Canis lupus familiaris: one gene and its partners. The protein of the gene in region 1 purifies or fractionates together with the protein of each later gene. This does not show direct contact. Links are inferred from orthologs where the notes say so. Each region holds a gene or a part of one and is shown on either strand. Other genes may lie near its edges. The genes, in order: PIDD1, CRADD and RIPK1.

What was found.
Region 2: the proteins of PIDD1 (region 1) and CRADD purify together in Homo sapiens (affinity purification with western blotting; 8 studies listed by BioGRID and IntAct, with this or other methods). This does not show direct contact. The link is inferred for Canis lupus familiaris from reciprocal best matches to the Homo sapiens genes PIDD1 and CRADD.
Region 3: the proteins of PIDD1 (region 1) and RIPK1 purify together in Homo sapiens (affinity purification with western blotting; 3 studies listed by BioGRID and IntAct, with this or other methods). This does not show direct contact. The link is inferred for Canis lupus familiaris from reciprocal best matches to the Homo sapiens genes PIDD1 and RIPK1.

The regions. Positions count from the first base shown.
Region 1 is NC_049239.1:45,603,610-45,607,836, forward strand, and holds the start of PIDD1 (p53-induced death domain-containing protein 1), read right to left. Parts: upstream 2,805-4,227; 5' UTR 2,699-2,804; intron 1,991-2,698; 5' UTR 1,952-1,990; coding exon 1,657-1,951; intron 1,381-1,656; coding exon 967-1,380; intron 636-966; coding exon 426-635; intron 338-425; coding exon 283-337; intron 106-282; coding exon 1-105. UniProt on the Homo sapiens protein: Component of the DNA damage/stress response pathway that functions downstream of p53/TP53 and can either promote cell survival or apoptosis.
Region 2 is NC_049236.1:34,177,847-34,182,037, forward strand, and holds the start of CRADD (death domain-containing protein CRADD), read left to right. Parts: upstream 1-1,378; 5' UTR 1,379-1,475; coding exon 1,476-1,514; intron 1,515-1,853; coding exon 1,854-2,157; intron 2,158-4,191. UniProt on the Homo sapiens protein: Adapter protein that associates with PIDD1 and the caspase CASP2 to form the PIDDosome, a complex that activates CASP2 and triggers apoptosis.
Region 3 is NC_049256.1:4,671,559-4,675,071, forward strand, and holds part of RIPK1 (receptor-interacting serine/threonine-protein kinase 1), read left to right. Parts: intron 1-929; coding exon 930-1,079; intron 1,080-3,513. UniProt on the Homo sapiens protein: Serine-threonine kinase which is a key regulator of TNF-mediated apoptosis, necroptosis and inflammatory pathways.

The DNA of each region.
Region 1 (4,227 bases):
AGACGATACTGGATGTTGACAGGGCTAGCAGTAGCCCCAGCAGGGAACTGCAGGCGGACGCCACAGGCCAGGGTCACGGAGCAGCCTTGGGGAGTCACAGGGAAGCTGTGTGACAGAGTGGGCATCAGGTCAGACAATAGAAAGGGGTGTGGCTGAATCGGGCACCCCTGGGAAACTCTAGAAGATCCCTGGGGCCTGAGCGAGGTGCACATTATGGATAGGGTGACAGGGTAGAGACGTGCTTTTTCAGCAACACACACATACACACACACTCACACACACCTGTCCACATCTGAGTTCAGGAACAGTCTGGGCATTTCCAGGATCACCGGCGCCTCTGTGCAAGGATGGGCAGCTGTTAGTATACCTACAGTACCTACATCCTGGCCTGTCTGTGGTCTGACCCTTCCCAGGAACAAGCCTACCTGGGGGGCTTTGGGGGGCAGGTAGAGCCTCGCCCAGGGGGTTCCCCTGAAGGCGCACAAAGGGAGCGTCCAGGAGCTCCGGGGGCACGTCCCGGAGCTGGTTGTCCCTCAGATCCAGCCGAGTGAGCAGCGGGAGGTGTACCAGGCCGGTGGGCACTGAGGTCAGGAGGTTGCTGTGCAAAACAAGGAGCCGCAAGGACCGCAGCCCCACTGTGGGGAGATGCCAGCTTAGGGCCAGCAGAGGACCACCACCCAGGGCCACGCCTAGTCCTGGCCAGGACAGGATACTCATGGCAGGCCCAAGCAGAGAAGCCTTTCCAGTCTCTGCCCCATGGCCAGACTCGGGGAGCTTGAAATCCAGGGAAGGAAGGGCAAACGAGTGCCACCTGGAGGAGTGAAGGCTCCAAGGTGGCCAAGATTGTGTGTGCAGGGTCCCCTGTGGAGGACAAGGTGGGGCCCACAGAGAGCGGAGGCCAGACAGTGGCCAAAAGGCCCTCTCCATCAGGCCCAAGGAGCCAAAAGGGGCCTGACCCCTACTTACCAAGGGAGGTCGGGAGGCCCTGCAGCCGGTTGGAAGCCAGATTGAGCTCCGTGAGGCTGCTCAGGCCTCCAATCTCAGGGGGCAGAGTGTCCAGAAGGTTCCCTGAGAGATCAAGGCGCTGCAGGGTGGAGAGAGCTCCCAGCGCTATGGGCAGCGTTTGCAAACGATTATGGGTCACAGAGAGGAAGGTAAGGGAGGGGAGGGCTCCGAGGGCCTCAGGGAGCTCTGAGAGGTGGTTGTAAGAGAGCAGGAGGGTGCTCAGGCCACGCATCTGTGGGATGCAGGCCGGCAGCGTCTCCAGGCTGTTGAAGCTCAGATCTAGGTGGGCCAAGCGGGCCAGGCCACTCAGGCCAGCGGGCAGTGTGGTCAGAGAGCCCCGGAGGCAGGCACCCAGCACATCCCAGTGTTGTCCACCTAGAAAGGGGGAGAGCAGATGTGGCCCTCAGGGCCGGAATCCCAGGGCTCAGCTCAGAGGCACAGACCTCTCTACCCCAACCCCACCCAGCGAGGGACAGAGACCCCAGCAATGCAGGGAGACAGGGATGCATACGACAGGCTCATCTCGGCTGACAGCCATCACCCATGACCTGCCCCAGAAAGAATAGCCATGCTGCTGTCTGCTGGGGGACACCACTGGGCAGCTGCAGCATGGGCGGGGTTGGGACAGGGCTGGGACCAGGTGGGGCTCACCTCTGAGGACCAGGGAGCGAAGGCGCTGCAGGTTCCGCGGCACCTGGGTCAGGGTAGCCTCTAGCAGCTGAGGGTCCTCGTGGCCACTCAGCTGCAAGAACTCCACTTCCCCCAGCTGAGGGGGTCGCTGGGCACAGAGATGGAGCAGCCGGTGGCACCCCCCAGGGTACAGGTCCAGGCTCAACCGGTTCCCAACCAGGAGACGGAGCTCTGCATCCGCAGCCTCTGTGGCATCTCCTGCAGCATCTTCTGTAGCAGCTGCCTGGGGCTCCAGCCCCTCTGCCTCTGCAGCCATCGCCCACCGGCTGTCCTCGGGGGCCAGACATGTCCCAGCCTGCCAAACAGGCCTGCTCAGACAGGGCCGGGGAGGCTGCAGAGTCAGGGGGAGGAGTGGGGAGAGGGAGGGAGGCTGGGCCCTCCTCCGTTCAGGGGAATGGGGACTCTGGCTGGGGCGGGGGGAGGGGGGAGTTCCCCTGAGCCAGACCAGCTGATGCACAGAGCCCAGAGCCTCCCCTGGACAGGTCACTTTTGAAAGAGGGCTGGGGAAGGAGGACCCCAGGACTGGGAAGGCAGCCCAGAGCGAGATCTGTGTGCAGAGGAGCCCAGAGGACCTGGCTGGGGGGAGGAGGGAGAAATGAGGCTTCACATTCCACTTCTGGAAATCTGAAGGAGACCCCTAGAGCTGTCCTGTCATCCTGGCTGTTCTGCCCCCCCCCCCCAAGAGCTGGAGGTCCAGCCCCCCTGCCAACCTTCACACCCACCAGCTTTGACCCGAGGCTGAGGACTCTACCACGTGGGGACAGTGGCCCAGGCCAGGAAAGGGGCGATTGTGCCCACACAGGTCAGATAAGTGAATGGGGTGGGGGGGTGAGCCACTGGGCAGCGCGGAGTCCTGGGGATGGGACGCTGGGGGAGGGGTCTCCCCGCTTCCCGTCTGCACCGAGGTCGCGGTCGGGAGCAGTGGCCCGGCACTCGGGGCTCCGACGGGGCCGGTCCTGGCCGGGAGAGCGCCCCCCCGCCCCCGCCCTCGCCCTGCGCGTACCTGCGCTCCGGGCTGGGCGCCGTCCCGGGTGGGACGCCCCACGCCGGGTTCCCGCTGGCGCGCTCGGAGCGGCCCAGGCGTCGGGGGCCCGCCCAGGCCGGACGCCGCGGGGCTGGGGCGCAGGCGGAGGCCTCGGGGTGCCCGCACCCCCCGCCCCGCCCCTGTCCAGCCTGCAGCCCAGGAGACGCGGCCGCGGACCCCAACCGCCAGCCGCCGGCCCCGCGGTGCTCGGCTTCCTGCTCGTCCGCCTCGGGCCGGCCTCTCCCGCCGGGAGGCCCGCGTCGCGCCGCCCAGCCCGCCCTCCCGGAGATTCCCGGCCCCGGCCCGCCCTGCCCTGCAGCTGTGCGCTCCCGGCCGGGAGGTGAGCGGGTGCAACCTCGGGGGAGGGGGGCCCGGACGCAGCTGCGGCCTCAGATCCACCTCCTGCCAGAAGCCAGGGCAGCACGGGTACCGTCCCCGGCCAGCCTCTGGGGCCTCCTTCTCCGGGAAGCCTTCCTGAGGCTCCTCTAGCGGCCTGGGCCCAGCTCCTGCTATCCTGCTTTAGCGGCACTTTGGCCAGGTGCCCCAGCAGGGGGCTAGCCCATGCCTCCTCTGCCTCAATCTTTGCATCTCACAGGGAAGGAAAAGGAGGCCCTGACATCAGAGTTTGCCCCAGGTCACCGGAACTAAGTGCCACAGCTGAGAACCTCACACTAGGTCTGCCTGTGGAGAGCCTGCCAGACCTGTGCTCGTTCACCTGCTCTGCCCCAGATCAGGGGCTCCCACGCCACCAGCCGCCCACCCGCCAGGATGGGCAGTTGGGCCAGGCCTGCACTTGCCCCGGCTCCTGGCCCCCGTTGTTTCTGCGAGGCTGCCAGAGACTTAAACAACCACCACAGGGCGTTACTCAGCTTTATTTTATTTTTTTTAAATATTTTATTTCTTTACTCAGAGAGAGAGAGAGAGAGAGAGGCAAAGACACAGGCAGAGAGAGAAGCAGGCTCCATGCAGGGAGCCTGATGTGGGACTCGATCCCAGGACCCTGGGATCAGGCCCTGGGCTGAAGGCGGCGCTAAACTGCTGAGCCACCCGGGGTGCCCCATTATTCAGCTTTAAAAGGGAATGAAATTCTGATATGTGCCAGGATATGGAGAGAATGTCCGAGAGGGTAAATAGAGTCTGCTTCCACGTCTGCATCCAGTCGGGACCCCAGAGCAGTCAAATGAGTCCAAAGTGGTGGGTGCCAGGGGCTGGGGAAGTAGGGAGTTACTGCTGAGCTGGTGTGGACTCCCAACTTGGGAGGACGAAATCCCCTGTGGGTAGAAAGTGGTGACAGCTGTGTAACTGGGAAAACACCCAGGGCCACTGAATTGTGCGGCTGGAATGGCAAACCTGACATATCCTGTCACCTCCAACGCCACACATCACAACACGCCCCACCCCTGATGTCCCCATTTTACTCCGTGTGGGGCCTTGAGTGAGACCTGTGCCCCACCTCTGTCTATGATGGGGGTGATGACAGCGAGGGCACCCCAAGAGTAAGGAGACCT
Region 2 (4,191 bases), on another chromosome or scaffold:
GATAACGTACCACAGATAAAAACAAAGTTTGAAAAGGGATGGGGAATGCAGGAGATTAATGTTGCAATTTTAAATAGATTGGTCAGGAAAGGTTTCGTAGATGAGGCGACTTTTGAGACTTATCTATCAGGTCAGTTGTGTGCAACGCCCTGCTGGAGATCCTGTCTTAAAATACTCCCTTAGATAAACCCCTACGGGGACGTGGCGCAGCGGTTTGGCGCCTGCCTTTGGCCCAGGGCGCGATCCTGGAGACCCGGGATCGAATCCCACGTCGGGCTCCCGGTGCATGGAGCCTGCTTCTCTCTCTGCCTCTCTTTCTTTCTCTCTCTCTCTGTGACTATCATAAATAAATAAAAAATTAAAAAAAAAAAAAAACCCTACGTGACTTACTTAACTGTTTTCCATTTCCAGGAGGCGATATTGTTTACCCGCAATAAATATGGCGGAAAAAAGCTTCAGTCCCCCACACTTGGGCCCGCTCAGCAAACATGGAGACAGCACTTCCTGTGTTTGCCCTCAACAAAGATGGCGACAGCACTTCCTGTGTTTGCCCTCAACAGAGATGGCGACAGCACTTCCTGTGTTTGCCCTCAACAAAGATGGCGACAGCACTTCCTGTTGAGGGGCTTCGCCTTCAACAAAGATGGTACTTATGGTACAGGTTCCTTAACAGCCTGGATTCCGGTTGCGGTTTTTTTTTTTTTTTTTTTTTTCCTTTAAATACATGTGTTTGCAGACGTAAGTAACAGGAAACCAGAAACCCCGTATCCATTTTTTTCTCGAAGGCCCCGCACCGTGGCCTCTGCGGCCTCGGCCCCGCGTGGCTTCCCCGCCCACCTAACTTGCGGCGTTTGCGAGCCGGGCCCGGGTTGGGGAGGCGGTGGCGGTGCTGGGGGGGCCAGCGCCCCCTTCCATCCGTTCTGAAGATCATTCCCTGCTCAGGTTGCCCCGAAAATCCCTCCTAGTTCTTCCTGTTGGTAATACAGCAGGACTTGAGGTGGCAAGGAGGGAACTGAGGGCTCTAGACGGGCGTGGGCGGCCGCCAGCGCACGCCGTCCCCTCCCCCGTCGCCACCTCCCCCTACCCCCACCCCCACGGAGCCCCCCCTGTGCCGCCCCCCGACCCCTCCCCCCTCCCCCGCTGCTTCGCCTTCGAAGCCTGGGCACCGGCGCCCCGAGACCCGGCGGCGGGCCTGGCTACTGACCACGGCTGCAGTGGGGGGAAATCCCCAATAAGCGTCCCTCCCACGTGCGGTCCTGGCGGTGGTGCCATAGAGATGCGGAACGCCTAGGGGGAGGGGTGCCGCGACCACCCGGGAGGCGCCCCGCAGAGCACACCTAGAGGTGACGGGGCGGGGGCTTTGCTCCCAGGGGCGGAGGACCTTACAGGGCTCGGTACCTGCGGGCCTCGCGCCCACGCCCACTGCGCTGCGGGCTGAGCAGAAGCCGGTCCGAAGGCCGCCTGCGGTATATCTGATGAAGTCGACGTTAAAGGAAAGCCGCTGGTTCTTGTTAGTATGTTAAAATGAAACGCTGCTCTGTAATTCTCAGATCAAAATTGCTTTTAAGCAGGGTCCGTGGCCCAGTTTTTTCCAAACGTCCTTATCAAGCAAGGAATCCAGCGAGGACCCCATTGTGTGGAAAGCAAAATTAGAAAAGATGATTCATATTCAGGGTTGGTCATTATGCTCAGAAATATTCAAGATTACTTTGATTTGGCTTAACGGCCATATGCTAAACACCACGGCCTGGCACTCCGCCAAGATTCCTAGACGTACCTGACCTTAAGGAGTTTGCCTTTAGGAGGGTTGGTCAGCTTCCTGGAATCTGAGCTACTATTTCATGTCTTCCCAGGGAGAAATGGAAGCTAGAGACAAGCAAGTGCTTCGCTCCCTTCGCCTGGAGCTGGGTGCAGAAGTACTGGTGGAGGGACTGGTTCTTCAATATCTTTACCAGGAAGGGGTCTTGACAGAAAACCACCTTCAAGAAATCAAAGCTCAAGCCACAGGCCTTCGGAAAACAATGCTGCTGCTGGATATCCTACCTTCTAGAGGTCCTAAAGCATTTGATGCATTCCTAGATTCCCTGCAGGAATTTCCCTGGGTTAGGGAGAAGCTGGAGAAGGCAAGGGAAGAAGCCATAACTGAGCTCCCTGCAGGTAGGCCTGAAAAGATCACTTCTGACCAGCTGCAGAATTGTGGAAACTATGTCCTTTGGATGTGAAGTTGGGGTTTTAGGTGAGCAGTGGGTAAGGAGTTTGGCGTGAAGGCACATGGTGTTGGAGGCTGAGGAGGAGGAGGTGGAATTAGGAATGGTAGAGCCGGGGATCCCTGGGTGGCTCAGTGATTTAGCGCCTGCCTTGGGCCCAGGGCGCGATCCTGGAGTCCCGGGATCAAGTCCCGCGTCGGCCTGCTTCTCCCTCTGCCGTTCTCTCTCTCTCTACGTCTATCATGAATAAATAAATAAAATATAAAAAAAAAAAAAAAAAAAAAAGGAAGTGTAGAGCCATGATGCAGAGGGTGAGGAGGGAGGTCACAGAATACATTTAGAAATGCTTCCAGGGAAACTTGGCAAGTCACTTGGGAGGCATGTTCTCATCTGAGAGCCAGGTCATATCTCAGCTCTTGGCATCGGGAGCCATTTGGAAAGTACAGATGGGAAAGCAGGCATCAGGCTACCGATAACGGATTTGTGGGGTGCCAGAGCTGCCGGCTGGGAAAGGTCAGCTTCATGAAGGAGGAGACAGTCTCTAGGAAGGCATGCCTTGCACCTGTTCCCTAGGCCAAAGGGGATTATTTAGAGAGCTGGTTAAGTTTTTAAAGGTTATTGATTGAAAGTCATTCTTTTTAGTTTGGCTTTGTTCAGACACCCAGAGTATTTAATATTATAAGAATAGTAGTTTGGAGAGGGTCTGTTTTGATTTTAAAGAAAGTTGAAAGCAATGGAAAAGAGAAACAATCCTGATGCTACTGGCCTGACTTGTAGCAGGAAGAAGATATGATGTGAGATGCTTTCCCTCTTAACACTTCCATGACTTACTGTTTTCCAAAGCTTGAGGAGCAGAGAACTGAATTGCCAAAAAAACCCAAACCAAACCAAAACAAAAACCCACCCCCAAAACAAAACAAAACAAAAAAACAACAAAAAAAAACCAACCCCCAAACCTCCAAAGTATAAATAACATAAATTAGTTTAAAAAGAAATAAGTAAAATAAAAAAATAAAAAATTGAAAGTTAACTTGCAAATTTTTAATAGTTAGGAAATAAACATTTTCCGGAGTTTTTGAAAGTAGTGATAGTTAGAACTCCTCCGGGACAGTGGTTCTCAGACTTTGTTGTTGCAGTTTTAAAAATACCAACATAGGGATCCCTGGGTGGCGCAGCGGTTTGGCGCCTGCCTTTGGCCCAGGGCGCGATCCTGGAGACCCGGGATCGAATCCCATGTCGGGCTCCCGGTGCATGGAGCCTGCTTCTCCCTCTGCCTGTGTCTCTGCCTCTCTCTCTCTCTCTGTGACTATCATAAATAAATAAAAATTAAAAAAAAAAAAAATAAATAAAAATACCAACATAACTGGTTAAAAAACAACTACCAGTAATAAAAGACCAATTTTATTATTTTTGCCCCATGGACCTCATATTTTGTTTTATTTTGAATGATTTTTCAGACTGCAGGTACTAACTAATCATGATGAATTCTTCTATTTTTATTAATGACATATGTCTGAATATCTGCTCTGCATGAGATAACCACTTAACTTAGGAGGGCTTGGTTAAACCCCAGTGGAAAAAACAAACATATTTTCATTTCCTAGCATGGCTGAATTTCAGGTAAATGTATGTGTTAGGCTTTTTGAAATACTGAAAATAGCTGTCCTTTCAGGGCCACAGGAATTCAAGTGTCCTTACAAAATTAAATACTCCAGGTATGTGAACAAATCCAAACGAAAGTATCTAAGACGTTTCTACCAGTTTACTGAAAACAGAATAAATATTGTGGAACTGGGGACATGTTAAGAGAAGTATTAGGGTATCCAGTGTCTTTTCCTGGTGTTTAACTTAGAGATGCCTCTTGGCACCAGATAGTTGGAAACAACAAAACAAGCGAAACGAAACCCCGTTACTACCAAAATATTTCATTTAATTTTACAATCATTTTGGGTGATGTAACCAGTTCTGTTCTATGTTGTTCATA
Region 3 (3,513 bases), on another chromosome or scaffold:
CTTTGTCCATTCAAAACCTATGAATTCAAGGTATATATATGATTCAAGATCCATCTTGAATCCCCCCACTTCTGTCCCCACCAGACTCTCTAGTTCAGACCATCCGTATTTCTACTGAGGGCTGCTCATTTCCCCATTCACCCTGCAGCCAGGCTGGTCATCCTAATAGACAAGTATGACCATCTGATTCATCTATTTATAATCTTTCCAAGGCTCCCTGGGCCTCCAGTATAGAGTTCAAATTCTTCAGCATGGAATACAAGGCCCTCTCTGGCTTTTCCATCTTTCTCTAGCCTTATTCCTTACCTCTCTTTCTTTAGTCAATATGCCCAGTTATTGAGAACTACGCATAATTTCTAGGATACATCACGATTTTGGAGACTTCCAAGCTATTCATATCCTGCCCCCCTATCCTGGAATCCTGTTCTCTGAGTCCTCCTTCCTGATTTATCGATAAATCCTTCTAGTTTTTTTTTTTGATGCAGCAAAGCCTTCTCTGACCTTCTCATCATGGTTGTGTTAGCAGAAACCTTTGTACTTAATTTTTGAATAACCATTACCAATCTGTATTTTAAGTCCCTCTCAATAAACTTAGTTCTTTACGGGTAAAAGCTGTTCCATGTTCGCCTTTGTATTAAAGTCTGGAGTCTGCCATTGTTTTTATTTGTATATTCTATTCTACCAGGAGGCCACTTTGTTGTGAATTCTTTCTTTCTTCTGCAGAGGTTAAAATGTCGTTTGATCATCTGGGCAGTAGAATATGTCAGTGCCTTGTCAGAGGGTCCTTCTGCCCCTAACAGATGAGGCGCCCGTCCTAAAAGCATACCCTAGGTAGAGGAGATCAGCAGGATTGTCCAAGTTCTGCTGCCTTCCTGCCTAAGACACGCAGGACCTGAGGAAAAAATCAACGTAAATTCTTTGCCTTATAGATGCTATCTGTGAACAGCAGCTGATACTGTGCATTAAATCTGGGAACAGGCCAGATGTGGAGGACATCATTGAGTACTGCCCAGAGGAGATTATCAGCATCATGAAGCAATGCTGGGAGGCAAAACCCGAAATTCGGCCAACATTTGCTGGTAAGAGCATCTTCTGTGACTGTGTACATTGCCAGTGAGGTGACTTTCCTGGTAAGATGTTGTCAGGAAGTTGAAGTGTTCAGAAACCTGAGTTCTACTTGTGATTTCAAATAGACTTTCTAGATTTCACACATTTTGTTCGATGAAAAGATACCATCCCTCTTAAAAATGTGAAGTTATATGAGGCCCTCTTCTTTCTTTTTTCTTTCTTTCTTTTTTTTTTTTTTTTTCTGCATAATTAACTTTTTAAAAATTGTGTTAAGGGCAGCCCTGGTGGCTCAGCGGTTTAGCGCTACCTTCAGTCCAAGGCATGATCCTGGAGACCCAGGATCAAGTCCCACGTCTGGCTCCCTGCATAGAGCCTGCTTCTCTGCCTGTATCTCTGCCTCTCTTTCTCTCTTTGTGTGTGTCTCATGAATAAATAAAAAAAATCTTTAAAAATAAATAAATAAAAATTGTGTTAAAATATGCATAATGCATCAGTTACCATTTTAACCTTATTTAAGTGTACAGTTCAGCGGCGTTGAGTACGTTCACAGTGTTGTGCATCCAGCACCACCAGCCATCTCTAAAACCTCTTCATCTTCCCAAACTGAAACTTCGTATCCATTAAAACGCACCAACTCCCCATCCCCCTTCCCCCAGCCCTGGCAGCCACCCTTCTGACTTTTCATCCCTATGAATTTATTCTATTATTTCTATCATTACATCAATAGGCACGATTCTAGGCACCTCGTGGAGTCATACAGTTTTTGTCTTTTCGTGCCTGGCTTGTTTCACTCAGGATAATGTCTAGGGTTGCTCTGTGCTGTGGTGTGTGTCAGAAGTTCCTTCCTTTTTTTTTTTTTTTTGTAAGATTTTATTCATTTATTCATGACAGAGAGAGAGGCAGAAACACAGGCAGAGGGAGAGAGAAGGGGTGTGTGTGTGTGTGTGTGTGTGTGTATGTATACACACACGCCGCATTTTCTTTATTCATTCATCTGTTGATGGATACTTTGGTAGCTTCCACTGGTCCTTTTTTATTAGCATCTTTTATTTCTTCTCCTTCCCCTTGGGATGCAGACTTCTTTGGAAATGTATATTGTCATTTAGATTAGGCCTGTAGGGCAGCCCGGGTGGCTCAGCCGTTTAGCGCAGCCTTCGGCCCAGGGTGTGATCCTGGAGACCCGGGATCAAGTCCCACGTCGGGCTCCCTGCATGGAGCCTGCTTCTCCCTCTGCTTGTGTCTGTGCCTCTCTCTCTCTCTCTCTCTCTCTGTCTCTCATGAATAAATAAATAAAATCTTTAAAAAAATTAGGCCTTTAATAGAGGGCGAGGAAAGGGGACATGAATGTTTGTCACATCCTTGCATGTCTTCCCATTCCACTAGGTTACCTAGGACCTTGCTAAGATTCTAGAGGCAGAGGAAAGAAAATCAGGTAAGCAAGAAATAAATAGTAGGAAGTCACTTAGGAGCCTATTTCTGCCATGAGAAAACAGAATAAAGCCCCACCCACCACTAGAACCAAGGATTAGAAGGGTACTTTGATTTACTTGCTTGTTTTCCTATTTTCCTAGTCAGCCTGAATCCTCTCCTGACCTGGTCTCTTCTTTTCTTTTATGCCTTTTTCACTTTTTTAAAATTAAAGTTCCTATTTTGAGATAATTGTAGATGTACCTGTGGTTGTAAGAAAAACAGGGGCACCTGGCTGGCTCAGTCAATAGAGTATGCAACTCTTGATCTCGGGGGTTGTAAGTTCGAGCCCCAGGCTGGATGTACAGGTTACTAAAAAATCTTTCTAAAAAAAATAGGGAAAAGAAAAGAAATAACACAGAAATATCCCATATACCTTTTACCTAGTTTACCCCAGTGATAGCATCTGGCCAAACTACAGTATGGTTTTACAACTAGGATGTTGACCTTGATACAGTCAGATGCAGGTCATCTCCATCACCAGAAGGGTGCCTTATGTTGCCTTCTTGTACCCACACCCACTTTCCTCCCCAACGCCACCCTCCTCCTTCACCTCTGTTGATCTCTAATCTGTTCTCCGTTTCTGTCATTTTTTGTCACTTCACAAATACTACATAAGTAGAATCATAGGGACCCCTGGGTGGCTCAGCAGTTGAACATCTGCCTTTGGCTCAGGGCATGATCCCGGAGTCCTGGGAACGAGTCCCACATCAGGCTCCCCACATGGAGCCTGCTTCTCCCTCTGCCTGTGTCTCTGCCTCTCTCTCTCTGTGTCTCTCATGAATAAATAAATAAAATCTTAAAAAAAAATAGAATCATAAAATACTTTTTGGGAATGCTTTGGGTTTGGCTTTTTGCCATTCAGCATGATTCATCCAGGCTATTGTGTATACCAACGATTTGTTCTTTTTATTGCTGAGTAGTATTCCATGGTGTGGATGTACCACAGTTTGTTTATTCTTTCCTCAAAAGAAATAT